4 linked regions of the Struthio camelus genome follow. The protein of the gene in region 1 binds, or shares a complex with, the protein of each later gene. Links are inferred from orthologs where the notes say so. Each region holds a gene or a part of one and is shown in the gene's direction. Other genes may lie near its edges. The genes, in order: TAF4, TAF3, TADA2B and TAF13.

Region 1 (7,071 bases):
AGCTGCTCTTTTATAGCATTTAAAACAGAAATAGGCGTGCTGTAGAATACAGAGGACATGCTGGGTAGATGAGGGGAGAGCAGTGGATGTTGTCTCCCTGGACTTCAGCAAGGCTTTTGACACTGTCTCCCATCACATCCTCCTAGGTAAGCTCAGGAAGTGTGGGCTAGATGAGTGCATAGTGAGGTGGACTGAGAACTAGCTGAATGGCAGAGCTCAGAGGGTTGTGGTGAATGGCACAGTCTAGTTGGAGGCCTGTAGCTAGCTGTGTCCCCCAGGGGTCAGTCCTGGGCCCGGTCTTGTTCAACTTATTCATCAATGACCTGGAGGAAGGGACAGAGTGCACCCTCAGCTAGTTTGCTGATGATACTAAACCGGGGGGAGTGGCTGACACAGCAGAAGGCTGTGCTGCCATTCAGAGGGACCCGGACAGGCTGGAGAGCTGGGCGGAGAGGAACCTCATGAAGTTCAACATAGGCAAGTGCAGGGTCCTGCACCTAGGCAGGAATAATCCCATGCACCAGTACAGGCTGGGGGTTGACCTGCTGGAAAGCAGCTCTGCTGAGAAGGACCTGGGAGTCCTGGTGGGCAACAAGTTAACCGTGAGGCAGCAATGTGCCCTTGTGGCCAAGAAGGCCAATGGTCTCCTGGGGTGCCTTAGGCAGAGTGTTGCCAGCAGGCCGAGGGAGGTGATCCTGCCCCTCTCCTCAGCCCTGGTGAGGCCTCACCTGGAGCACTGTGTCCAATTCTGGACTCCCCGGTACAAGACACACATGGCACTACTGGAGAGAGTCCAGCGAAGGGCTACCAGGATGATGAGGGGACTGGAGCATCTCTCCTGTGAAGAAAGGCTGCGAGAGCTGGGCCTGTTCAGCCTGGAGAAGAGAAGACAGAGGTGACCTGATCAATGTGTACAAGGATCTGAAGGGGGGGGTTGTCGAGAGGATGAGGCCAGTCTCTTCTCCATGGTGCCAAGTGACAGGGCAAGAGGCAACAGGCACAAACTGCAACACAGGAAGTTCCATCTGGACCTGAGGAAAAACTTTTTTCCTGTGAGGGTGACAGAGCACTGGAGCAGGTTGCCCAGAGAGGTGGTGGAGTCTCCTTCGCTGGAGATATTCAAAACCCACCTGGACGCGATCCTGGGAAATATGTTCTAGAGGACCCTGCTCGAGCAGGGGGGTTGGACTAGATGATTTCCAGAGGTCCCTTCCAACCTCGGCCATTCTGTGAGAAAGAATCCCAACCCTGAGGAATCACATATAGAAAATTACTTCCAATGGTAAACAAGAGACAGATAAGTGTGAAAAGATAAAGTATTTAGTAATGTATCCTGCACACTTACAATGTGCAAGTGGTAATGCATCTCGGTTGTTCTTGTAATTTTGTAAGGTTGCTTACCTGATGTGGTAGATATTGCCATATGGTATACTAGAGAGAGTGTCAGAACAAGGACATAAAGATTTCTAGACTTTTTTTTCTACTTTGGTATGCAACTGTAAACTACATTCCAGTTGTCCTAGAAAACTAGCAGGAGAAGAATATAGCCTGCTCTGATCCTTTATGTTAGCTGCTACTGCCCTTTGATAATTTAATCCATCTCTGATGTCACCATCTCTCTTTTTTCATCACTTTTCCTGGCACTGCAGCCCAACTTTGCACTATACTCCTGTTGAGATGCTGTGAAAGAAAGACTTGCAGTGACTCTGTCACCCTTGGGCTGTTTCCGCTGAATTCTAGCTGTTTACCTCAATAACCGATTTGAGCAGCTGTAGACTAACTCTCTGTTTTGGGGATCTGAACAGACTTCTATTCTAGATAGCTCTTTGGTATGTAGCTTATAGAATTTAATCGTGGCCAAAAACTAGCAATGTGCTTGACTGTAGCAGCGACAAATTCACAGGCACCACTGTGCTTGACAAAGCATTCTTGCATTGTAAGAAATGGGCCACACGACCTACAACATCAGTAAAATTGCAGCTACTTTAAGCATTATAATTTGGTCAGAATGGATGAAGTGGAAGTTAAAAGTTATAGAGAGGAAAAGGGCATTTTCTTTGCTTCTCTCCCTTGAATTTTGAGCGATGACCGAGAAAAGCTTTGAGAAGTATAGAAGGCTTGAGAACAAGAATAATTTAACAAAGATTAATTTTATAACTTCTCAGAGGAGCTAGGCCGTCCCTCCTAGCGATGTGTCCTTTTGAAGCGATTAGAGCCTCAGGAAGGGCTAGCTGTTGTAATTCCAACTCACCCTGCAGAAGGCTACTGCAGGTGAGAAGAGGACACAAGTAACTAGAACTGCAAATCCCTCAGTATAAGCAGTTTTCTAAAACTTTCAAGTTATTACACTACTATTTGAGGCCCATACATTAAGAACAAAATACCTATCTGATTTTGTTTTTTCTTTGAGCTTTTTGCAAAGAGTTTCTCTCATGTGGGAACATTCACAGATTTGGGGGCAGGGTAAGATATGGGACAGCATTTCAGTATTTTTCCCCATCATTTAGGACAGCTAGTGGACATGATTTACAGCTAATAACATGATTTACTTCACGTTACAGCAGTGCAAGTGATCACCACAAATCTGTAAATATAAGAAGCACTGACGCCCAACTTTAGGCAAACCTAAGTAAAGAATACTTTGTCTCTGACCTATTTCAAGCAATCCAGTCTCACAGAAAACTTGCAGCTCTTATTCTTACCAGTCTCCATCTTTGCAGTCTTAAGTCAGCTATCAGGACAGTAAATTCTAGACATTATTAAGGAACGCATTAGCAGGTGCCGAGTCTGATCCCACTGCAACACAACTCCAGTCTTTAATTGCACCCATTCCCAGTACATCAGAGCAAAACTCATCATACTGCAATAAGAAGCGTTATCATGCTAAACCTGATTCCTCTTTAAAAACGACCTGCCACGATTTGTCCGTCAGTATTGTTCCAGCCGTTCGGTAGCCTTGAGAAACAGCGCCTAGCAAAAGAAAATATTAAAAGGCGGGTTGCATTTTTACTTCAAGTGTATTTACTTCCTTTAGGATGGTTGCACAACGAGGTCAAAGTGCAGTTTCCTACTGTAAGAGCGGCGCTCACGAAGTCCCGCGTACCTGCAGCCCGCGCCCAGCGCGCCCCGCCGCCGCGGTTCCCCTTCAGCTGCTCTTGGCTCTTGCGCAGCTGTAACGCCTCGGCTTTCCCCGAAGGGTTAAGCGGCAGCGGGGGCGTTAACGCGCGCGGGCGCGCCGGGATGGCCCCAGCGCAGCAGCCCCCCGCCTGACGCTGTCGGGCTCCGAGCGGGGAGTGGACTATTTAAAATAGTAACCTCCCTCTTTCATTTTTTGTTTGTCCCCGGCGCCGAAAGCCGAGCTCCCCTCCCGGGCTTGCGCTCCGTCGGGGCTGGCCGCCAACCCCTCCGCGGCCCGGCCCGGCCCGCCGTGCTGAGTCAGGCTGCTCGGGCCGGGGGGGCGGGGAGGGGCGCCGGGCCCCCGCTGCGAGCCGCGGCTCCCGCCCCGCGCCCCGGCTACCTGCCGCCGGCACCCGGCGGCGGCGGGGGCGGCCCGGGCCGGCAGCGCTGCGGCTCCGCCTGCGGCGCAGCGAGGCGCGGGGGCCGCCGCCGCCGCCCCCCCTCCCCTCCCCTCCCGCCCGCCCGGCGGATCAGTTACACGCAGCTGGCACAGGTGTGCGGCGCCGGCGAGGGAGACCCGGGCGCAGGGAGCAGCGGGCAGACATGCAGCCATTTTGGGCCGAGGCAGACAAAGAGGCGCGGCCGCCGCCCCCCTCCTTCCCGCCTCTCCTCCCCCCGCCCCCCTCCGCGTCGCGCCTCGCCCCGTCGCGCCTCGGCCGGCCGGCCGCACCGCCCGCCCCCGCCCGCCACAGCCGCCGCGCCCCGCCACCGCGTCGCGGCCGGGCCGCTGCCGCCCGACTCCCAACTAAGAGCTCGCAGCCATTTGCCCTGCCTTTTATACCCGGCCGGCGGCCAATCAGCGGCGAGCGGAATCCCTCTCCGGCCGGTGATGTGAGGCGAGGCGGCTGCGCCTGCGCAGTAAGGGGGGCCGAGTGTGTGGGGGGGGGTGGGGGGAGGGAGGGAGGAGTGAAAGGGGAGGGGGGGGAGGAGGGAGCAGCTCACAGGAACCCTCCAAAAAAAAGATGGCGGCGGGCTCGGATCTGCTGGATGAGGTTTTCCTGAACACGGAGGTGGATGAGAAGGTGGTGAGCGACCTGGTGGGCTCCCTGGAGTCCCAGCTGGCGGCCTCCGGCCACCACCACCAGCACCACAAGGCGCAGGAGCCCCTGAGGGCCGCTGGGGGGCTGCTGGGGAACCATGTTGTGAGCAGCAGCAGTAGCAGCAGCAGCCCTAGCCCTAGCCCTGGAGGAGTAGTAGTAGGAGGCAATGCTAATGTCCAAACAGAGAGCAGCAGCAGCAGCAAGATGGGACTCAGTGCCCCAGAGATCACAAAAGCAGGTAACATGGGCAGGGGTGGGGGGCTCGGAGGGGAGAGGGGGCCTCCCCTCCCCCCACTGCCCGGCTCCGGCTGCCTCCTTCCCTCACTGCTTTTTTTCCCCCCCTTTTTCCCCTCTCTCCTCCGTCTTGTTGTGGCAGGAGCCGGAGTGCAAAGGGTGGTATCGATCATACGGGGGAGAGCCTCCCCTCATCATGCCCCCTCGGTGTGTATCCGTGCCTGTGCTCCCTCCCCTTTATTTTCCCTCCTCGCTCCTGCTTACTAGAGGATGTTTTATCATGTGTGGGGGCAGTATCCCTACATCATAACCCGTCAGTGCCTGCCTGTGACTCTGTCGGTCCCCCTCTTCTTTTTCTGCCCTTGTTGCTGGAGTGTAAAAGGCTCTATTAATCTTGGGGTTGAGGGAGGCAGAGCCCACCCCCTCGGTGCTGCCTGTCCCTCACATGCCATCTGTGACTGATCCCCTTCCTTTTCCAGGGGTGGAGGTTATGGGGGGGGATTCCCTCTTAATAACGCCTGCTTAGCTGTCTGTGTAAATGCTCCTTCCCCTCCCCCTTCGCTGTTGCTGAAGTGCAAGGGGGTGTTATTAATCATGACACCTATTTCCTGTATAGGAGGAAGCGAGGGGGGATTTCAAGGGGAGGAAGTCCCTCAAAATGCTTCCCCCCCCCATATCTGTCTGCCTGGATATGCCTCCCCCACCCCCTCCCTTGTTCCTGGGGCTTGGAGGGGGCATTCAACACCTCTCATTCCCCCTCTGCCCTCAAGGGGGTGTTGTCACAACATTAGGTCCCAGGAAGGGGGGGGAATTCAGGCCATAACACCCCACCTTGTACAATGTCTTCCCCCACCCCCCCGCCCCCCAGCATCTACCTGTGACTGTTCCCTCCCTTCATGTTGTGAAGGCTGTAGGGGGATGGTATTAATCACAGCCTTAAGGGTTCCCTCCATGAGAATGGAGGGAAGCTTTTTTTCAGGGGAATAAAAAAAAAAAATGTCTCCCCAGAATCTCTCTGCAATTCCTCCCCTCCCCCCCTTTTTGCTTTCTTTCTTTCTTCTTGCTGAAGTGTAAGAAGATATTACAGACCTTCTGTCATGATTAATGAAGCTCTTCTAGGAGGATCTCCTTAACCCTTATGAGATGCATCTCAGTATCTGTCTGTCACTATTCTTTCCCCATTTCTGTCTCCTTAGGGCCAGGACCCAGGCTGTCTGTGATTGTACTAGTGATAACACCAGGCCTCATCAAGGGGCGTGAGGATTATTCAGGACAAGAAGCTACATCACCTTATCCTTTCTCAAAATCAGCCTTGCTTTTTATTTATTTATTTTTAACCATCTCTGGCTGTGGGAACTTCAGAGCCAGAAGAATAAATTTTGTAATAAGGTGGAGAGGTCTTCTTATAACCTGCTCCAGACCTTATACTACTCCTTATCTTGGCCGGCTGGTGTTTTTCTTTTCCTTCACTTTTTTTGCATCTTGCTGTTGTTGAGCTTCCTGCTCTAACTGACTTAACGTTGTAGCAGATGAGAGGATTAGGGCGTAACTTGCTGGGCATAGGGAATGTGCCTTATTAATGTGTCTTCCAATGCTATTTTTTTTCCTCTTGTTGGTGCAGGCATGCTGCTAAACATAATATCAGGCTCTAGAATGGGGAAGAGGTCTAAAGAGAAGATCTCCTTCCTCCTTCCTTCCTTCACTTCATAGCAAATCTGTTTTCCCTGTTTTATCTTACTGTGGTGATGAAGGTGGGAGTGTTGCAATTAATATTGAATCCACCAGTCTCTAGTGGGAAACTGGAGGCTTCAAGATAACGTCTTTAAATCCTTCTTCAGTTTATACTCTGTTCCATTTTCTTGGCAGGCAGTTTGGGAGATGAAGAAGACTTGGTGGTGAGGGAGAACATTCTGTCTTCGTTGGATTTCTCCTGCTCGTTCTGTCTTTTTAACCTTGTTGTTGTTGTTGCAGGAGCAGGAGGAGTGCAAGGAGGCGTTATTAATCATAACACCAGGTCCCAGAGCTCAACTCTGGATGGAGGCACCACAACGAGCACCAGCACCACCACTGCAGCAGCAGGAGGATCTGAAGTTACTGCTGCTCCAGGGACCCTCAGTCAGGGCAAATCGGTGGTTATCAGCACGATGGCAACTGCCTTGTCCACCAGGAATGGCAAGATTGGGACCACAACAGTGCAAACTTTGAATGGGAGTAATGTGGTGATGAACTCTCACCACACAGGAAGTGCTGCTTTCTCCGGGACTCCTGTGACTGCTAACCCTGCTTCTGCACCTGCTGTTGCCCCTCTAGTTAACAATGGACCTGGATCTGTCGGAAAAGGAAATACTGTTAATGCTGTTTTGCCATCAGCTTCCAACACTGTCATCCAGACTTCTTTCCTTAATACTGCTGTGTCGTCTGCATCTTCTTCCTCACCCACAGTTATTTCCTCGCAGCCACCACCGAGCATTGGAAGTGGGGGGCCTACGGTAACGCTTGTGAGGCCACCAATTCACACAGCAGGACCCACAGTAGCTGCAGCTGGTGCAGCCACTCAAAATGGGAGCAATACTGTGATCAATTCAACCATCAGTGTGGGGAGTTTTCCTGCTGTTGCTAC
Region 2 (6,865 bases), on another chromosome or scaffold:
AGTGGGCAGGGGGTTTGTAGAAGAGAGATGAAGAAAGTGTAAATTGTGTTGAATATCAAAGCAACCTTCCGAGTATGACCTGAGGGACAAGCGTGAACAACCACTTGCTTGCTCGAGCTGCTGTTGGGTTGAGATGGACATAAGTCAGCTAGTCTAGAAAGCATATAATCAAGTGCTGAACTTGAGCTAATATGCTTTCTCAAAGGCACCGTGTTAACTTCATAAAGTGATGTACTGTTGCTATCCTACAGCTTTCAATGTGCTGTCTTTATGTGAGGTTGAATCCTTGGAGAGGATTTGTTACATACTTTGAAGAATCTTTTAATGACTACTTTTAAGAACTATTAACTTTTAAGGAACTAAGGTTCTAATGCTAGGGTTAGTCACACAACCGAAGTTGGTGACTGCTTGGAATGGGTGAATTTGGGAAGCTCTAAAATGTGGAAACACAAACTAGCCACTGGATACAGAGGTGGCCGTTATCCTAATGGAGGAGTTCCTTGATTTATGCAATTCTCAGCTTAAGGCCTTGATCCTGTAATTCTTTAGGAATAATCTATCTAAGCTGTGGGGAAAAAACTGCTTTGACACTGTGAACCTTTGCGGTAATCCGGATGATTTACATTCTACTTTTCCCTGGTAAATGTTTCCGTTCTCTGTTATATGAAATTACATTCCTGACTGGAAAGCCATCACCTCTCTAAGTGATTTCCAGGGAGTGGAGGGGAATGCAGTTCCTACCATGTGTGTGACCTGATGGCATATGCACAACATCATCAAGGTGTGTATCTGTGTAAGGCCAAGGCTTTCCAGCAGCATTGTATTGCCCCAGATTTTTGTCCAGATGGCGTTTCTGTGGCTACCCAGCCTGCTGTCACTACCTTGCATGCCCTCCTGTTTCTGTGCAAGAACCCATGCCTGCCTTCTGCCCAGTCTGCTCGCAGTGAAGAATGCAGTGTGCTACTGATACAGTGAATCCGATAGGTGACTATCAGTTTCTTGCATCCCAGCTGTTCCCTTTAAGTAAGGGAGGAAGGGATGACATGCTTGTGTAAAGCTGAGCATTACGGGGGCTGTTCTGGTTTGAAACAAGGTGGAGACTGCCGCTTGGTGCACAGCGGCTGACGCAGCAGTTCTGCCCAGTCAGCTGGGTCCATCGGGCACCCTGAAGAAGTAAAACAGCCCCTTTGCCTTTCCCAGCCCATCTGATTGTTCCACTCCTCCTCCCCCATACGTCACATCCTTTAATTCCCGTCAGCTACGCAAGGAAATACTTTCCATAACCCTCAAACCTGTCTTCCCTTCTCCCTCTTTCAAGACTCAGCCTGGGTGCTTAGTCTGAGCGAGGTCAAGGTTCCCAGCTGGGGCCCTGAGACATACTCACAGCCTGCCGTCTCCTTTTGTGAGTTCCCCTTGCCTAGGAGGCTGGGTTTCTGCTCGGGCCGCTCTGCAGCAAGACTTGGCCTTGTCCCTGGATACCACGCTTTGCCTTGTGCTTTAGCCGAGCATCTTCCCGGAATCCTAACTGCTCTCTGAATCCATTCCTTGCTGTGAAATACTTAATAGGTAAAGGTTAATATGTGTGTAGAGCAAGGATTAAGCTGTTTCTCCTTTTTATTGGAGAAAGTGGGCATGTGATTTTAGAGGAATTCAGATACTTTGGTGCTAAGATCTCTGGATTTTGGAATCACAGTGAAAAGATGAAACAGCAGCCCAATGTCAAAATTTCTATTCTGGCATGGTGCATTAAATACTTTCTTAGGTACCTAAGGAGTAGTATGTCCACGCAGGGAAGAACTTTCAAATCCCTGCAGTGAATGCTTGGTTCCCCTGGAGGCTTTTATAGCATTCTTACTTGCTCTCAACTTTCTGTCACTCAGACGTGATCATCTTAGCATTCATATACACATTTTTTTTTGGTTACTTCTCTGGACTGAATGATGTTTCCAGTGTCATGTTCCATTGCAGAGGTTTTTATGGATTTCATTACAGAACAATTGCTGCTAGGAGCCGTGCAACTCGGTAATGGTTTGGGGAATTGAACTTGGAAGCCCAGGTCCTTCAAACTAAACAGCAGGAACCATGGAGATAGGCTCTTTTTCTCAGCTTGTTACAGTACAAGCAATCTTTTGTCACCGTTGAGCTCATCCAGTTAGTGTGATATGCTATATGGAGCGGTCTGAACTGCTCAAGTGGGGCAGCTCATGAATCAGGAACCACCGTGCCTAATAAATCCTGTGCTTTTCCTTTCATTGCAGTCAGCCCATGTTCCAGGAAGAGCCCAGGAAACACAAGTCATGTTACTGCGAATATTTGGTAGCATCAGTCCATGGTAATTCCCCTAAGAATACTTCTGAAGTTTACAAAAGGAGGTCTGTGTATTTGCAGCTTTTCTGAACACTCAGAAAATACGTTTCTAAGATGGCAAACGTGCTGCCTGTTCAGGAACTCCCCAAAGCGGCTTGACAGACTGAAGAGAGCAAGCAAAGATCATTCACCTTTCAGTGAACTAATTAGTGAACTAATTAACAGAACTAGTATTTACAGTTGTCTTTCATACTGTCATTAGTTACACACAATTATTGAGTTACAATTTATTATTAAGTGCTATTAATTACACACAACAGTTTTAACAGTTCTGTTGCCCTTTATACTACCTCCTGCACCCCCATGGGGGTGCAATACTATCACCCTTTTCCATACCCATTTAAACTTCTTCATTTAGACCGTTATTAGACGGATTTTTATACCTTAACTGTCTTTTTTTCATTTCTGGACCCTCCTTTTTGCCAGTATTGTACCATCCCTTCCCTGCCCAGCCTCTTCCTGAAGAAACAACCTGCTTGTAAATCCTTCATCCCTGTGGGTCCCAGCTTTGCTCTATCCACACCCAAATTTGGTGTTTATTTCTAATAGAGTTACCCAGGCAACCTTGGCCTTACACATGGCTTCCGTGGCTGCCTACGTACAGGTGGCCTTGGCAAGGTTTTACTCCCCAAAAGATCCCAGAAATTCCTCTTCTGAGTCCTGGGATCCTTCTCGGTACATATTGTTCATTTTGCACACATTTCTGAGACAAGTTCTGGTTCCTCCACCTAGTTCCAAATAAATTCAAGCACTTGCTTATCTTAAGGGCAACAACCCCCACGCCAGAGCGAGGTTACGTGCTTTTTCCCCCCCGCACACTTTTTGCGGGGGCTCACACAGCATCCTGCTCTCCCTTGGCTGCTTCATTACACATCACCGGCCTTAACGTGGCTCTTTTGGATCATCTCCCGCTTCCCCCCACCCCAGTCTTGTCAAGCCTCCCTACAGGCCTTCGGGGCGCTCAAGTCCGTTTCGGTTTAAAGCATCTCGACGAGGCTCCCTTCCTGCGCCCCGGTGGTCGGGGGGTTCTCCCCCATTCCTTTAAAATCACCTATAAAAAAAGCAGAAGGGAAGGTGTCATTCCAGACGGTCAGCTTCGGCGGCAAGGCCCCTGCAGCAAGCACCCGCTGCCGGCGGGTCCCCTCAGCCCGAGGCGGCGTGAGGCGACAAACGTCTTTTACAACCGACAAGCGGCGCGCAGCTTTAGGGCCCGCCGCGCTGGCTGACACGGCCGCGACCGCCCTCCTCCTCCTCCGCGCAGCCCAAACCCATCCGAAAAGGCTTCGCCTCGGCTGGGCGGACCAGAATTTCCCGCTTTCTACGCGATTTTTGAGGTGGTTTTGGGACGACGCGCTCCGGCCACACGGCGCTGAGGCCCCAACCGCCTCCTCCCCCCGCTCTCACCACCTCCTCAGAGCAAGGAGGGGAGGGAGGATGGCCGAGCGGTCGAGGGCGCTCGATGCGCTCGGCGCTGCAGCCGCGCGGCCTGGCGGCGGGGAGGCGCGACGCCAAGATGGCGGCGGCGGCGGCTGTGGCGGCGGCGGCGGCGGGTTGTGCGTGAGCTTCGCCTCGGCCCTGGCGGCGCCCAGCCGGCCGGCATGTGCGAGACCTACTCGCGTTGGTTGCTGCGGGTATCGGTGGCGCAGATTTGCCAGGCCTTGGGTTGGGATTCGGTGCAGGTCTCGGCCTGCGACCTCCTCACCGACGTGCTGCAGCGGTACCTGCAGGGGCTGGGCCGGGGCTGCCACCGCTACTGCGAGCTCTGTGAGTGCCGGGGCGGCGGGCTGGGCTGGGCTGAGGGGGCCGGGGGTCGGGGGCGGAGAGGAGAGGGCACGGAGAAGGAGCGTGGGGGGCTGTGGGGCAGTGGCGGGGGCCGAGAGGAGCGGGAAGGGAGCCGTGGGTCCGAGGTGGCGCCCCCACGGGAGCGGTGGGCCGGGGGTGTGGGGTGCGGTGAAGTCACGGGGCAGCGGGTCTGGGGTGCAGGCGTGAGAGGGCAGTGAGTGTCCGCTGTGGGGCAAGGGGGAAACAGCGGGGGTGAGGCACTAGGAGTGGGGTGCTGTATGTGCACATAGGGGGAAGCGGGGCAGTTGGGAGCGGGTCTGGGGTGGGGATGGGGGGGGAGATGGGGCTGCTGCCCCACTTCTTTGGCTGTAGTGTGCAGGGTGTGTGTTGGGGGGGTGTACAGGAGGAGAGGACGGGCCTGTTGGTCCCGTTGCTGGGGCTGTAGTGTGCTGGGGTGGGTGTGCGGAGAGGGGACACAGGGGACCGGTCCCGGGTGGGAGGCTGCTGTCCCAGGCCATCTCAGCGTCAGCAGGTGCGCACTGGGGGAAGTCGGGGGGCTGCAGTCCCCACGGCCACTTTGGGGCCTGGGGCTGCCATTTACGCCAGGTTTGGGCTGTGTGAAGGGCCAGGGGGTTGGGGGGTGTTAACCCCGTGGTGGGGCCGCAGTGAGCGCGCTGGCGGGGAGCGTAAGCAGTGAAGGGTTGGAGCTGCCGTGCGCGGCGTGGAGCCCATATTAAAGGACCACGGGGCCCCATATATTAAGCTGTGGGGGAGGGGTGTGCAGTGGGAAGTGATGGTGTGTATGGGGGGAGTGGGGGAGTGCGGTGTGTGAGGTCGGGGGTGTGCTTGTGTGTCTTGGTGGGGGATGGAGCTGTAATGCCCACACCGTGGGATGTGCACAGGGCGAGTGATGGGGCTGAAGTGTCTGAGGTATGGGGGTTTGTAGGTGGGAAAGAAAACGGACAGAGCTGGAGATCTTTTTAGTGCGCGTGGTATGAGGTACGTTGGAGACGTGCGCCTGGGGGTTGGACAAAGCAAATTTCTGTGCCCCTTCTGAATCTGAGAGGGGGAGGGGGTAGGGGAAACGGAGATGTGGGTATCAGTGCTGGTGGAGTGGTGGATGAGGTGGTGCTGTGGCGGCTGTTGAGCAGGATTTGGACTGTTGTAACACTCCATAAATACTGCAGGGGAGATGGAGTGCGGTGCATAGTGGAGAGGCTGGGGGAGCGAGGGTGCCCTGTAGGAGTGGAGATAGGCTGTGTGTGCACATGGGAACCAGGGCTGCTTGCGCCTCTTGAGATCTTAAACGGGACCAGGGAAGCAGGGAGTCCTGGAGCCTAGGATCAGGAGTGCTGTTGCCAACTGCGTCAGTGTGGAAGATATTTCAAGGAGCCCTAACAGGATTGGGATCGGGAGTACACTCCTCTTGCAAAGCAGGCAGTGTATGTGGAGGGTTGGAGGGATTTGGGGAACCAACTGCTGCCTGCATAAAGAGGAAAGGAGGAAAGCCTCAGGAGGGAGGAGGGTCGCTTGACCACCACCTGCTCAAGGAGAGCAGGGAATTTGGGGAGACTTGGGCACGGAGATTGGACTGCCGTGCTGCTCTTGTCTGCTTCTGAAGTGCTTGGGGCCTGGGGACGACTCTCTGGGGTCTGGAACCGTGTGATGAGGCCGTGTTAGAGACTGCATCTGCTTGGCCTGCAGCGTGCTCTGAGTTTGGGTTGCTGAAGGGAATGTGGAGAGACTGAGGGGGGCAGGTTTCTTGTTACCACTTCCTTCAGCATGCTGCGGGGCTGTGGGCTGTCACTGCTCTGCGTGCATGTATATATTTATAGAGAGAGAAGTCCGGGATAGCCCCGAAACAGAGGTCAGAGTTGCTATGCTGTTGGATGTCAGCATGGAAGACATTTAGAAGAGTAGAGGGTTGGGGGTTAGGGTGGATGATGTGGTGCTTGCCTGAAGAGCTGGATATGGAGAGGGTGACTTCCTAGGAAAGGATTTGTGGCTATGACAAGCCACCACCAGTGCTTGTGGGAGAAGTAACAGGGATGGCAGCTCTGAACAACTGAGAACTTTGCTACCACTTCCACCCCAGTTGTGTGGATGTGGGCTCTGTGCTAATCAGGGCTCATGTGGATGAGGGGGATACTGAGGACACACTGCAGCTCCAGGTGGTAGCTGCAGCTTCGAGATCAGAGGAGCTTTGAAGGGTGGAGGTGTTGGCTTCCTCGGCAGGAGTGAATTTGGAGGGTGTGTGGGACGAAGGACCGTGTGCCAGGAGGGAACGCTCAGCGTGATAAGCATAGTCAAGAGAGGAGCAGCCTTGGCCTGGCAGTGCTGCTTGTTGTCGTGTCTGTTCTCTGAGGCAGAAGTTTTCATTGCTGCAGTGAGCCCCAGTAAAGCATGGTGATGATCTGAACATACCTGATACCTGGCTCTGCCTCAGCTTGTTGAATCCAGGAATAATCAAGATCTAGTCTGAGTCTGTCACTGCCTGTTTATCTGAGCCCAAGCTTGGCTGCCTCTGCCACGGCTAGGAGGAAAAGATGCATAGACGGTGGAAATACAGTTTTTTTTTTTTTCCTCTCAGTGCTTAAGGAATTGGAAGTGCTTACTGAAAGCTGGTAGAAATAAAATATCCCTCTCTTGCTTTGAGGGTGCTTAGAGATAGTGGAGAAGGGAAGTTTTGCCCCCCCCCGGTGAATGGAAAAGGAAG
Region 3 (7,036 bases), on another chromosome or scaffold:
TGTAATCATTCTGCAAAACTGTAAAGATCTTAAAAGAATATATTCAATTGCTACTACATGACTGGAATAAAGAATAAAAAATGATTGATCTCTTCAGACTGCCATTCCACCATGATAAAAGAACAAGATTTAAGCCTTCAACAGCATAATACTTACTTTAATTATTTATGTCCTTTAAAGAGCCAGGCAATTCAGAAAAGCTAGTTCAGAGGTCATTTAAAAAGAACAATGTAAGGAAATAGCTTTATATAAAGTTTATCTATGCTTGTATCCCCATGTAAATGCCCTCTGTAATTTGTGTCCTCCTTTTTAATATATATGCAACTAGAACCAACAACTCAAACCCAGCTTGACAGTACTACATCCCTCAGGATGGGATTCGAACCTGTCACAGAAAACCAAAAGATTTAAATTCCTGCTCTTTGCCAGTGGGACCTGTGTACATAGGCTGCTTGCTGCCTTTGAACACTTGAATATGGTCCTCAGTACTTAACTCAGACTACCAAAAATGACACTAAAGCATCACAGTCTACCTAAGAAAGTAGTGGTATTTTTGTTGGTTAATTGATTTCTGTGCTTTTCTAGGTAGGATTTATTCAATAATTGAGCGCATCAGCTAGTGATGGCCTGTAAGGAGCCCACTAAGGTTGAGTTCCCCTCAGTAGAGAACATACTAAATCAGAGCTCCAGTACTTTGCTGGCTTTTCTAAGATATTTCCATATTCTGGATGTCATCTGATGCTTTTTACGAAATTAATACTACAACTGAGGTATCAAGTGCTGCAGGATGCAGAACAGTGCCGTAGTCATTGATTGCCACAAGCCACATGGGAATTAATAGTTGAAGAACATTTATGTTATTTTGAAAGGGAAGCTGTGCACAGGAACCAAAGTTCTGTGGGCTGCGGAGTCATAAAGGTGTTAAGTTCTGCCTCTCCCTCCCCTCTTCCTCAGTCTTTTTTTTCCTGGAATTGTGATACACTACACTTGGGTAGTGCTGAAAGGGCTTACACCACTCTGTGCATCTTCACACACCGGGAACGAGGGCAAGGCCAACAACCCCCTAACATTGCAGAAGTTGAAAGACAGAAGAAAAAAAAAAACAAAAAACTAGTTTTGAATGATAATATGTCTGTATGCATCTGAACCGCAGATCCTGAAGAATAGGAATTCTTAAAGTAATAAATCTTCCTTTTGTGCACCAACAAATTTTGCAGGCAGTTATATTTAAAGAATGAGTAAGTAATTTAGTGCTTTAGTGTAGTGGCTGTATGTAAACCATGTCAAGTTTCAGTAATAAACTTCTCTTTAGGTCTCAGTCACATCTATGGGAATTAACCCTTACGACGTGCCTAGAAGGCATGTATGTTTATTTTACAGATAAAGAGTTGATCCTGAATTCTAAAAGCCAGATGGAGGCTCCCAGAATCAAGATTTGAAGTAGAATATGTTTGCTTAGTGCTCTGCTTAAAGAACATTGCCATGGCCTTAAAGGACTGAATGCTGAGATGTATTTTTAGCAGTCTAAGCTTTTGAATGCGTGTGAGGTTTTTTTTTTTAATGAGTTTAGCAAGTTTTTATGTAGTTTCATTCAAAATAAGTAGCTCCACTGTAATCTCTCTACTGAATGCATAGCGCTAATATGGAATTTAGGAAAGACTTTCTAGGCGTACATGTGATGCATTCCCCTGGACTTAAAAAATTACAGAAAACTCCTTGGTTTATATCTTTTTCCTGCTTTCTTTTCCTCAGTCGGCCTCAGCAAGGTAAAAAGGACCTAGCTTCCTTGATCTTTTTCTGAATTCCCTTGCATGTAAGGATCAGATCAGCATGGTGACATTTCAGGATTTCTAATCGCTGGCTTAACAACTTTACGGTATCCACCTTTTCCTCAAAGTCCCGAAGCAACGTCTCGTTTCCAAGCAGCCCACATTTCTGCTGCAATTTCAAATTGTCTATCCGCAACCTGTCTCTGGCCTGCTTTGTTCTGGTCAGAAGGTCTCTCTTCTGTGACAAGATGGCCTCAATGTCCATCAGTTCAGCCTTTCTCCCTTGATTCTCAGCTTCCACAAACTGTAGTTTTTCCTTGAACTGGCTGAGAATTTGCACCGTATCAGAGATCTTCTTTTGGAGCTTCTGCAGTTCATCACTGAGGTCGTCAATCCTTTCACTGTATTTCTGATTCTCTTTCTTCAGCTGCTCAAAGTCTATAAAACATACTCCGTCTGTCCTTTCTCCCTGGGCTTTCAAGACCAATTCAAGCTTTTGGATTTCATGCTTCAGCTTGATGTTTTCCACACGGGCCTGGATGAACAGGAAAAAAAAAAAAGATTTATTTTAATCCCTTGTCTTGCCAAAGAAGAACATTGCAAAGTAGGTAACAGCAATTAAAAAAAAAAAACTTCAAAGGGAGAAAAATATCTAGCATCTGCTGCTGTTCTTTAACATGAAGTGGTAGATATTAGCCTTTGTTGTCCCGGAAGGCAAGCCCCCTATCTGTAAGACGAGCAAAAGGCAAATCCTTTCGCCAAGAGTCAGGCAGCCGGCCAGGGCCTCACCTCGCTCACTTCTTCTTCTTTGAGCCGCTCCGCCGCCTGGATGCGCTCCACCGCCGCCGCCGCCGCCGCCCGGCCGCCCAGCCGCCGGCCCAGGGCGCACACGGCCGCCTCCTTCTTGCGCGCCTGGAAGGCGGCCCACGCCGCCTCGGCCCGCGCCCGCCGCCGCCCGCAGCCGCGCCGCTGCGCCGCCTCCCGCTGCCGGCAGCCGGCCGCCGCCTCCTCCCGCCGCTCGCGCAGCGCCTGCAGCGCCCGCAGCTGCTCGGCGTAGCGCTGCTCGCCGCCGCCCCCCGCCGCCGCCGCCTCCCGCCGCGGCTCCTCGCCCTTCCGCAGCCGCAGCAGCTGGCCCAGCCGCAGCTGCAGGCGGCAGCTGGCCTGCCGCAGCCGCTCCCGCTCGCTCGCCAGCTCCCGCTGCTCCTCCAGCAGCGCCGCCCGCACCTGCGGGTCTTCCTCCTCCTCCTCCTCCGCCTCCTCCTCCTCCTCCTCGGAGCCGCGCTCCGCCCCCGCCAGCGGCTCCCCCTCGCTGCCCCGCCGCTCCGCCTCGGCCGCCCCCCCCTCGGCCCCTCGGCCGCCCACGGGGCGCTCCCGCTCTCCTCCCTCATCCTCCTCCTTCTCCTCGCCGCCCGCCGCCGGCCGCGGCTCCGCCGGCACCTCCGGCTCCGAGGGCCCCGGCTCCGCCGGCACCTGCGGCTGCGGCTGCTCAGGCCCCGGCTCGCCCGACACCCGCGGCTCCGAGGGCCCCGGCTCCGCCGGTCCCGCCGGCTCCGAGCGCCCCGGCTCGCCCGGCCCCTGCGGGTCCTTCGGCCCCGGCTCCTCCAGTCCCGCCGGCTCCGAGCGCCCCAGCTCGGCCGGCACCTCCGGCTGCAGCTGCTCAGGCCCCGCGTCCTCCGGTCCCGCCGGCCCCAGCTCCTCCGGCTGCGGGTCCTTCGGCCCCGGCCCCTCGGGCCCCGCCGGCTCCCCCGGCCCCTCGGGCCCCGGCCCCTCGGACCCCGCCGGCTCCCCCGGCCCTGGCCCCTCGGGCCCCGCCGGCTCCCCCGGCCCCTCGGACCCCGCCGGCTGCCCCGGCCCCTCGGGCCCCGCCAGCCCCGGCTCCTCCATTCCCGCCGGCTCCTCCATGCCGGCTGTTTACCCGCTTCCCCCGTTGCTCGGGCAACAAGATTCGGCTCCGCCTGCCAGCAGGAGGCCCCGCCCCGCCCCGGGAGCCGTTCTGTCACGCCCCCTCCCCTTAGGCCGCCACTCAGCGACGGGGTCGCTCGGGTTCGCTTTTCCGATTGGCTGCGAGAAAGGAAGCCGGGTTCCGCTTGGCCAATCCCAGCCGCTTAGCCCTGTTAACCCCCCCTGCGCCCAGCAGCGCGGGTCCCATTGGGCAGGGGGCCGAGGGGCGGGCCGAGCCCGTCAGCTGTATTGGCCGCCGGGCGCGCGGCGCCGCCCGCCGGGCGCGCTGCCATTGGCGATGGCGGCGCGGGGGCGTGGCGGCGCGTGCGCGCGGCGGCGCGGCGGGCGGGGTAAGATGGCGGAACTGGGGAAGAAGTACTGCGTGTACTGCCTGGCCGAGGTGAGCTCGCTGCGCTTCCGCTGCACGGAGTGCGCCGACATCGAGCTCTGCCCCGACTGCTTCTCGGCGGGCGCCGAGATCGGGCCGCACCGCCGATGGCACGGCTACCAGCTCGTCGACGGCGGCCGCTTCACCCTGTGGGGCGCCGAGGCCGAGGGCGGCTGGAGCAGCCGCGAGGAGCAGCTGCTGCTGGACGCCATCGAGCAGTTCGGCTTCGGCAACTGGGTAAGGGGCGGCGGGGGCGGCAGGGGAGGGGGCGGCGGGGCTCGGCGCCCTCCCCCGGCCTGGGGGGCCCGGCGGACCGCGGCGGCGCCGGCTGCCGCGGCCCCGGAGCGCTGGCGCGTCGGTGCCCCCCGGAGAGCGGCCCGCCCAGACGCAGCTCGCCGGAGTGGCAGCTGCCTTAAATCCGAGCGCCGTCTTCCCCTCCGTCCCGCTGGCGTTGCGGAGCTCGTTTTGTCCCCTCTTCTTCCCAGTGTGCAGCTCCTTGCCCCGGCGTGTCGCAGCGGTAAGGCCCCTGTTTGTCCTCTGTGCTAGCGCACGACCAGGGCTGTTCAGAAGGAGTGAAAAGCACAGTGAAGCAGCTCGAGCTCTCCTTGTCGAAGGAGGCGCTTCTCTCTTGTAAGAAGTGTCATCGTTTGAGTCGCTACTTGTTGCTTTGTTTCCTTTCGTTTCGGTAAATGTAAGGAATCTCTTCCGTGTGAAGATCTTTGTGTTTGTGACGGCTGTAACTTTTTCTTCTAAACAACACCCAGAAGAGAGCTGGAAACGATCTTATTTCTATATTGCTTAAAGTACTTTGGCAACACTGTAAACGAGGAAAACACCAATGACGTGGTAGTATCAGTACTGACTTGGGATTTGTCTGTTGAAAAGTACGACTTTGTGGACTTCCTCCTGGTAGTAAGCTAACTTGCGACCAGTAAAGACTCGGGGCTTGCCATGTGGATTTAGCATCTCAGTGGTGTTCCTGTGAAATTGGAGATCTGATACAGCTTACTTTATTGATGTTGCTATGCCCGTTTCATGGCCTAAGTGCCGCTTGTAAATATTTATCTACACCTGAAAATCCAGATCGGATGGGTGTGTGGCAAATGCCAATATTACTAGGAAAGTTAAGGTATTGTGTGTTGGCTTTTGAGGGGCGGGGAAGAAGTCGTACTCTTAACTGAATGCACCCTACCCTGGAGATGTAACAGCAACCATTCTGTCACTCCTCCTTGTTTTCCATTTAGGAGGACATGGCTGCTCACGTGGGAGCCTCCCGAACGCCTCAGGAGGTGATGGAGCACTACGTGAGCATGTACATCCATGGCAATCTTGGCAAAGCCTGCATCCCTGACACTATTCCGAACAGAGTAACAGATCACACGTGTCCAAGTGGTGGCCCGCTTTCTCCTAGCTTGACCACGCCGCTCCCACCATTGGATATATCAGTGGCAGAACAGCAACAGTTGGGGTATATGCCGCTTCGGGATGACTATGAGATTGAATATGATCAAGATGCTGAAACTCTGATCAGTGGCCTTTCAGTGAACTATGATGATGATGATGTGGAAATAGAGTTGAAAAGAGCTCACGTAGATATGTACGTAAGAAAACTGAAGGAGAGGCAACGGCGGAAGAACATTGCCCGTGATTATAACCTGGTACCTGCCTTCCTGGGGAAGGATAAAAAGGACAAGGAGAAAGCTCCCAAACGAAAGATCACAAAAGAAGAGAAGGAGCTGAGGCTGAAACTGAGGCCTCTGTATCAGTTTATGTCTTGTAAGGAGTTTGAAGACTTCTTTGAGAACATGCACAAAGAGAGAATGCTCCGAGCAAAGATTCGGGAACTGCAGCGGTATCGTCGAAATGGAATCACCAAAATGGAAGAGTCAGCAGAGTATGAGGCAGCGAGACATAAACGGGAAAAGAGAAAGGAGAACAAAAACATAGCTGGCTCCAAGAGAGGGAAGGAAGATGGTAAAGAAGGTGAATTTGCTGCCATCGAAAACCTGCCTGGGTTTGAACTGTTATCGGACAGAGAAAAGGTGCTCTGCAGCTCTCTAAATTTGAGTCCTGCACGTTACGTGACTGTGAAAACTATAATCATTAAAGACCATCTCCAAAAAAGACAAGGAATCCCTTCAAAGAGTCGCCTTCCCAGTTACTTAGATAAGGTATTGAAGAAAAGAATTTTAAACTTTCTAACAGAAAGTGGTTGGATATCCAGGGATGCTTCATGAAATTCAGCTGATCTGAAAAAAACACATCCAAGGTGCATTATGGCCTCAAGGACAGTATTCATGGCCCATGGTTCACATGGATTCTTGCTTTGGATCATGGCAAATACTGAAAAATACTTATTCGTGCATTTCATTGGTTTTGGTACATTATTAGAACAGATCTCTTCCTCATGTAAACTTATTCAAGTCCAGTAGGCACAGAGTAGTTACTCTACTCCTGTTGGACAAACGAATATCAGTGTAATCCTTGCTTTTTTGAAGGCGGGAGACAGTTTCTAGCAAGCGAAACTTTAATCTCCTTTCGTTTTGTTTTTGACATAACGCTGGCAGCAAAGTGAGGCTCACAAAAATCCTGAGCTCTTGAGCAATATTAAACAGGGATTTTTGTGAACATTACTAAGCTTTCAGAACACTTTCCTTAATAACTACAGCCAAGGCGTTGGCAGAACAGTATGAGAGTTTCTGTAGAGGTTGCTGCAGGGATGAGCCATGACAGGGAATAGAAACCAACAAATGTGAGAGAGAAGATGCCTTCAGGTACTGATGCTGTGGAAAGCTTCTCTACCTTCACACCCCACTGATCCTGAGGTAGATTTGACTTGATTTTTTTTTTTTTTTCCTGATACAGGCCCTCACTGGAAGCTTCAGTGTTAACTAAATTAGTAGCAAGCTGCAGAAGCTCAAAGCAACTGTGGTGCTCT
Region 4 (7,065 bases), on another chromosome or scaffold:
TACCTGAAATGGGTCCATCTGTCCCAGAGGCGATACTTTTCTGTGCCCCAAGGATGGAGGGTGGGCTGCTTGTGGTAACTGCCCTTTCCTTCTTCCACATCCTCTGCAAGTGAGTGGAGTTCAGTTTTCAAGGCTGCTTCTTCCTTTGGCCTTTGGGCTGAGAGGGGCAGCCGTACCTATGCTGTGTGACAGCGGGCTTTGTCAGGCACCTGCTTACGTGCTTGTGGTCGTTTCGTACAGTAGCGTAGTTTGGAGTTATGTGACAGTAGCAACCCTTAAGTGTTTGCTTACGTAGCTGAAGTTTTTGCTTTATCAAAGTTGTACTGCACTATGGGGGATGTAATGTAATGTACCCAGTGGCTGAGTTTGGTTATATTAGTCCAAGATGCAGCAGTGATCAGGCACTGAATGTACACACCTTTGTTTCCATAGTTCTCTGGAGTTTTCAGGTGTTCACTTGCTAAGGTGTTTCATAGCCCATGTTACTGGAAACCTGCCTGTTGCAGAGACCAACTAAAAAGACTGGTTCCTGATCTGCTTGGCACATCCAGAACAAAAGGTACCAAATCTGGCTTTTTTTTTTTTTTTTAATAACCTGAAATACTGGAACTTATATTTTGGATAAATTTGTCTAAGGTTTTGGTTAAATTAATATTTGTAAGGATAAGCTTTTTGTTTAATAAACTCATTCAGGAAATTTGCGCTGCAATGGAATGCACTTTATTATCAAATGGTTTTATAAAACCTATGTGATTGTGCCAAGAAGGGAAAAACAAAGAGAACCTACTCTACAGAGGAGCTAGGTTTTAATACAGCATTTCCTCTCTCTCTCTCCAGCTAACTGTTCAGAAAGCTACTACTGCATGCCTAAATTCTGCTGTATTTAGGATATTAGAGACAGTCTAGTAATCTGATTAATAAAAAGGCATTTAGTTTAGAAAAGAAAAGTTATAGCTCTTAATATTAAACAAGCCACGCTTGCCAACTTGAATTGAATGACATTGAGAAGTTCACCAGTCTCAACTTATTTCACTACCTGCTGTAAGACTGTCTGGAGTAGAAATGGCCAGCACTTAATTTGTGAAGGTGTTTTTAGGAGAGATCTGGCTGGGAAGCTGCATTGTGTAACTCCTCTGCCTCATGCATTCAACAGGTGCAGTGTGATAGCGTGCCTTACTTGTATACACCAAGTTGTCCCTGTTCTAGGTGGATGAACGAAAGGACACATCTTTAATGGGATCTACCTTTCGATTACTGTTGGCTTGGAACAGAGTGAGATAAATGAATGACACCTAGGGGAGCTGTCTCCTCCTGCACTTTATCATCGGTCAGTGCTGCATTTACCTTCCAGCATGAAGTTCTGCAGCTGTACTCTGAACTGCCAGAGATGAGACATGTTGTTTGTTTTATGCATCTGTTCTACACTGGGAGCTGAAGCACAATAGTGAGGCCCCGTATTCTTTGCAAGCACTGTAACAGCTGGCAAAACTTTGTCCCACAACAGCTGTATCCAGCTAACAGCACCCAGCACCCATCCTGGGGAGACCGAAGCTGGGTAGTTACAATATCAGAAAGAGTCAGAAAAGGGGACTGTCTTAATAGCAGTAATCATACACGAAAATTTAGATCAAAGCTATTAAGTGCTGATGTCAAACTCTGACACTGTCTTGTTGAGTATTAGGATTGCCAAAGGTATGTATACGGTTGTCAGCGTTACTTACATCAAGTGTTTAAACCTCATGAAAGAGTAATTCTTCCATAAACCACTCGAGAGTTAGAAGGTGGTATTTCTAGTGTTTTGCTTTATTATGGAATTTCTTTTAACTCACAGATTAGACGTGAGATAGGGCTTATTTCCCCATATGTGTAGGAAGCGGCAGTGTGTGATGAATGCAATAGAAAGAGGTGGATCTCTGGTTTGCACACCTAAGCAGAGATCACACCTGTAATTCTCAATATTTCACCTCCAATCCTAAAGTGCTCCAGAGCAAACCAGCCCATGTGATGCTTCCACGGGGGGAAGTGCAGCAGTATAAGGATAGATGGAATAGGTGCAGGTCAACGTTTCAGGCATAATCTTTTGTTTAAAAAAAATAAAACCAGCATCTTTCAAAAGCATCAATCTAGTCTGTAATTCTAAAGGCCTCAGCTCTAATTGAAGAGCCTGTGCTGCAAACTGCCAGCCAGTATCCTTTCTCAAACTGTAACTGCTTTGTTAATGAGATTAGATTGCAGGAAGAGTGCATCTGAACTGGGAGGATAGCAGTACGTTTAAAAAAAAAAATCTTTTAACAAGAAGTGGCTATCCTATGTGATAGATACTAAGCAACAATGTGTGTGCTGTGTTAAACAGAAGTTCATGACCTCAAGGTTGTTCATGGCGTCTCGAACAGGCTCAGCAGCTCCTTCACTGTGGGGCCTTGGACTGTTGGGCCCACTTCTACAGTCATACAGGAGGTTGTACGATGAGGTAGTGCAGGATTTCAACTCAGTCTTTCAAGAGGCCCCCTTCCTACCACAAACACAGTAATTAAAAACAACAACAACAACAATAAAACTACCTAAAGCTTCTGTGGGAGAAGTTCATCCATCTTCCAAACTTCTTTCAATGGTTTTAGAGCAGTTCTGTTCTCTACTACCTTTGTATTCATCTTCAAGAAATGGGATTTCATTAAAATCAGTTCAGCAACTTATCTCTGGCCCCTTTGTCTCTCCTTTCTCTGACATCGTTAGCCTAGTTTGGGCTAACAGCATAAGACCTATCTTATTAAAAAAGAAAAAAAGCATTGTTTGTTTAGATGTCTACAGAAGTCAAGGATTACTACAAAGACAGTGAAAGAGGACATAGGGTTCACGTTCTGCTTGTTCTCTGGCTGAGGGGAGGTCATGCTGAGCTGTGCTTGGCACCTGGACAAGGAAGGACTGCCACAGCCAGGACTTCTAGATGCCGCTGCTGCGTTCTTCACGAAACGCTCAATTACAGCAGGCCTTGAGCGGTGCACACAGGAGTTGCCAGAACACGCCACGCTGATTTGAGGCCTGCTTCTGATGAGAGAGTCAACTCCATCCTCTGGGTTAAATTTAACTTAAAAGTTGTGGCTGTGGGTAACTGCCACGCTTGTGGGAATTAGCTTCGGTTGCAGAGCTGTTTTGTGATACTCGGCCAATTGTGCTTCGATCTATGAAGTCTTGAGAGTTGTGAAAAGGAGAGACTTAACTGAAAAGACTGAACATCCATTCCTGTGCTTCCCTCGTTCTAGGGCTCGTGACATGCATGTTTTCCTTTTGGGTTTGTATCCTCGCTGTCAAGAGCGGTGAGACCATCTGATTGCTTCTCTTGAAAGCCGCCAGCAGTTTCACTCTCCAGCTCTTTGCTTTTAGCATACTTCAGCTCCTCATCATATACTACTTTTGCTCCAGCTCTAGCTCCTTGGTGAGCTTGCTGATAGAGCTTGCCCAGAGTTAATTTTTCTCATGGTTTATCTTATGTTTGCAGCTGTGTAATACTGATTACGCTCAGCGTGTTGCATTCGGGTAGCTTCCTCCTTCAGAGCGCCAACTTCCAGTCCTGCATAGACATCAACGGAAAGAGGGGTACACGTCTTAACTCCCGCGCTGAGACACATCTGCTCACTACGGTCAGCCTGCTACTCCTGCCGCTTTAGCTCCTCGGTCTTACTTTATAAAGGGCAATGCAAGTTATGCCTACGAGCCCCCGGAGTCCTTGCCCCTCCGCTGACCGTTGCGGACACTGGCAGGAGTCCGGGGAGCGTTCAGAGCGCAGCAGCTCCCCGTGCAGACGTGCACGCGGGAACCTGGCGGGAGCCCGGCAAGTCGCGGCTGCGACGCTGCAGGGGGCCCGGCTGCGCTGCTCTGCCCGCCCGGCCCTTCAGAGGCCCCCCACGGGGGACGCCCCGAAGCCGGAGAAAGCCGGCGGCTTGCGGACACGGTAATCGCCAGCCGGAGGACCTACTGGGGCCGCTGCCTGACACCGCCAAGCGTCTGCCCGCGCCGTCAGGCGTACGAGCAGCGAGGCGCCGCCGCCTTTCAGTGCCCCCTTGCGGCGCGTGACCCTCCCCGGGCTCCGTTCGGGGCGGCGCCCGCGCCGTACGCCAAGATGGCGGCCCCCAGGCGCGGCCCGGGCGGCGGAAGCTCGGCCGGCCCGAGCGGAAGCGGCGCGCGGCAGCCATGGCCGACGAGGAGGAGGACGCGCCGGTGAGCCGCGGGCGCCGGGGCCGCGGGCGGGCCAGCGGCGGCGGCGTGCCCGGCTTTTGTGCGGGGCCTTCGGCCGCCTCTGCTCAGTGCGGGCGCCGCCCGGGGCTCCCGCAGAGCCGGTGACATGGCTGCTGCGGCCCGGTGCTGCCGGGCTGGCCTGCGCCCCCGCCGGCGGCGCTGCGGCCCGGCCCCGCTCTGACTGCGCCCTCTCCCCCCCCCCCCCCCCCCAATGTGCCTTTCCGCAGTTTGAGGAAGACGCCGAGGAGGCGGGCGGAGGCCTGGACGGGGGGCAAGGCAGGAGGAAGAGGCTCTTCTCCAAAGAACGTGAGTGCAAGCCAGAGCCGCTAGCCTGCGCCCGGCGGCGGCTGGCACCGGTCGCTCGCTGCAGCGCCAGCCGTGGCTTTTACGAACGGCATACCTCTTGCAGAGATGTCGGCAAGTCTTAGGGAGCTGTAGAGTTTTGAAACTCGTTGTCTTCATTAACAAAACAACGGCTTTCATTCCCTACCCGTGCTCAAAGCGGAGAAAGCCGTCATATACGACAGAACGTTGCTGCTAATGCGTCATCTGAGCCTATCAACGGCAAAAGCCATACAGCGATGCAATGCCCCGTAGTTGATAGCCTAAATGCATTTTAAAGAGCCTGTCATCAGATGCATTTGTCTGCGTATGTGCTACGCTCTTGCTGGGTTCTGTCTGTTTTATTTCCCATAAGCTCCCCAAAGAATTGTCCTGGCCAGCAGTCAGGAATGCCGTCCTGCTGCATGAACTTGTAGACTAGTAAGCCTAAAGCACTAGAGGCATGCTGCTGGCTGTGCTGAATGACCAGAAAAAAAATAAGAGGAGGATCATGCTGAGTATTTCTTTCTGCAGTAAGATGCATGATGTATGGATTTGGGGATGACCAGAACCCTTACACAGAATCAGTGGATATTCTCGAGGATCTGGTAATAGAGTTCATCACAGAAATGGTAAGTCAAATTTAGATGTCACGATCAAAAAAACAGCTCTTGCTAGTATTTCAGATGCACCGATTATTACACCACGATTGGACAGAGGATAGGATGTTCCTAGCAGAACATATCTCAACGAAAAGGGATGAATTTGTTTTCTAAAGGTGTTAAATCAGATTCGAAGATCCTCATTAAGATTTTAATTTTCTGTAGGCTAATACTTCTAACCCAACTGGATTAGCCCAGGCCAACAACTCTGATGCTAGTAGGAAGAATCCCACGTTAGCCTTTGCGCTTCGAAGATTCAGTGGAAACTAATGCATTTTGCTCCATGTGGATTTGGAACAGGGCCTTCATCTGTAAGGGGCAGTTAGACTGATATTTTACAGGCACAGCTGACTTTGTAGCCCACTGTGGCATCACTGCGTATACAGCTGACAGAAGATGAGGGTCAACTTTGAAAGTTGATCTACTTTTGTGTTTGCTCAGTTTTTTTACAAGGATGGGAAAGCAATTCTGTCCCACAAAACGAATACAAGGTTCTGCTGCCTTAAGCAATCACTGATCCTGCTGTTTGGATGCTGTTTGAGGGTTTTTTGTTTTTTGTTTTTTTACTCAAGTCTTTCCTGCTGTTTGAAAATCCTGTTTCTCTTGAAAGGTTGGCCTTGCCTTCACTTATGAAAATGCCTAAACTGTCCTCAGATTTGGTGTTGTCTTTTGCATGCAAATTCGCCTTGATGCTGTTCTTTCTCAAGCGCTCTGCAGGTTTGGTCTCCCCTATGTGTAGCATGGCTTTAGTTTTGATGTCATTAAGATCCTGTATGTATAACGGCACATACCAGGTGTAGGTGTCAAGGAGCTGGGAATAGTAGACTGACAAAAAGTTCACAGGAGTGCACTCGGGAGTGTGTCTGTGAGTAGGATGATGGTGCCCAGATCCTGAAATTGCTTACCTTTGGCTTATAAAGTGACAAGGAATAAAATGGAATTGAGAGTTGAAAAAAATAAGTCAGGGTCAAAGGCACACTGGTAACTTTTGCTTCTTCCTCTGACAGACGCACAAGGCCATGTCAATTGGGCGGCAGGGTCGTGTACAGGTTGAGGACATTGTCTTTCTAATCCGCAAGGACCCCCGGAAGTTTGCCAGAGTTAAGGACCTCCTGACTATGAATGAAGAACTGAAGCGGGCCAGAAAGGCCTTTGATGAGGCAAACTATGGATCTTGATCTTCTGTGCACGCGGCACAGCTTGGGCACCTTCTTCCCAAAAGCAAGGAATTAGTATGTATTTGTTGGAGGTTTTTTTTCCAGGATGGAGATCAGTGCTGGGATGTCTGCCTTGGCTCTCGGCCTTTACAAAGAAGTATCGAAGCCTTCTAATTTTATCTGACTGTATGTGGTATACTTAGGTATTTTTATACCATTTTATAAAACTCAAGAAGTGTGAAAGTGAGCTCTAAAGGTTCTTGTAATGGTGACAAGTGTGTTTGAAGTAGGACTGTGTTCTATCAGGTATCTAGAGGGTTAATGAGAACTGATTCTTTCCAACTGTTTCAGTCATTATTAGATGCTCCCTTCGCAGGAGACCTAGAAAATGGATCTCGGAGAACTGGACAAACTGTGCCTTCGAGCACAAACCATTAGAATTTCTGTTCTCTTCCCTGTCCCTGCTCCCTATATGCTCTTTGAGTAAAACATCTTAAGCTCATGCCAGGCCTCGTAACTAAAATTCACTGACGAATTCACACAAGTTGCATAATGTGGATTTCTTAGCACTAACGATTAAGTATTCTTAGTCTGGTAGGAAGCTCATTTTTTCCTTCTGCCTCAGTGGACACAGCTCTCTTGTTCTCATTTCTCCCTAGGAAATGGGGATCACCTATCCCAAATTTACTTGC

What was found.
Region 2: TAF4 (region 1) and TAF3 share a complex: the UniProt entries of both Homo sapiens proteins name them as parts of the TFIID basal transcription factor complex. The link is inferred for Struthio camelus from reciprocal best matches to the Homo sapiens genes TAF4 and TAF3.
Region 3: TAF4 (region 1) and TADA2B share a complex: the UniProt entries of both Homo sapiens proteins name them as parts of the TFTC-HAT complex. The link is inferred for Struthio camelus from reciprocal best matches to the Homo sapiens genes TAF4 and TADA2B.
Region 4: TAF4 (region 1) and TAF13 share a complex: the UniProt entries of both Homo sapiens proteins name them as parts of the TFIID basal transcription factor complex. The link is inferred for Struthio camelus from reciprocal best matches to the Homo sapiens genes TAF4 and TAF13.

What each region holds. Positions count from the first base shown.
Region 1 is NC_090959.1:15,331,254-15,338,324, reverse strand, and holds the start of TAF4 (transcription initiation factor TFIID subunit 4), read left to right. Parts: upstream 1-4,071; 5' UTR 4,072-4,139; coding exon 4,140-4,455; intron 4,456-6,422; coding exon 6,423-7,071. UniProt on the Homo sapiens protein: The TFIID basal transcription factor complex plays a major role in the initiation of RNA polymerase II (Pol II)-dependent transcription.
Region 2 is NC_090942.1:5,344,316-5,351,180, forward strand, and holds the start of TAF3 (transcription initiation factor TFIID subunit 3), read left to right. Parts: upstream 1-3,848; 5' UTR 3,849-3,965; coding exon 3,966-4,131; intron 4,132-6,865. UniProt on the Homo sapiens protein: The TFIID basal transcription factor complex plays a major role in the initiation of RNA polymerase II (Pol II)-dependent transcription.
Region 3 is NC_090945.1:74,308,813-74,315,848, forward strand, and holds the start of TADA2B (transcriptional adapter 2-beta), read left to right. Parts: upstream 1-4,035; 5' UTR 4,036-4,065; coding exon 4,066-4,335; intron 4,336-5,342; coding exon 5,343-6,335; 3' UTR 6,336-7,036. Other genes in the region: CFAP184 (cilia- and flagella-associated protein 184), read right to left, coding at 1,759-2,304, 2,559-3,470, 3,582-3,671. UniProt on the Homo sapiens protein: Coactivates PAX5-dependent transcription together with either SMARCA4 or GCN5L2.
Region 4 is NC_090942.1:96,845,900-96,852,964, reverse strand, and holds the start of TAF13 (transcription initiation factor TFIID subunit 13), read left to right. Parts: upstream 1-4,059; 5' UTR 4,060-4,188; coding exon 4,189-4,215; intron 4,216-4,460; coding exon 4,461-4,539; intron 4,540-5,088; coding exon 5,089-5,186; intron 5,187-6,223; coding exon 6,224-6,394; 3' UTR 6,395-7,065. Other genes in the region: GTPBP8 (GTP-binding protein 8), read left to right, coding at 433-517. UniProt on the Homo sapiens protein: The TFIID basal transcription factor complex plays a major role in the initiation of RNA polymerase II (Pol II)-dependent transcription.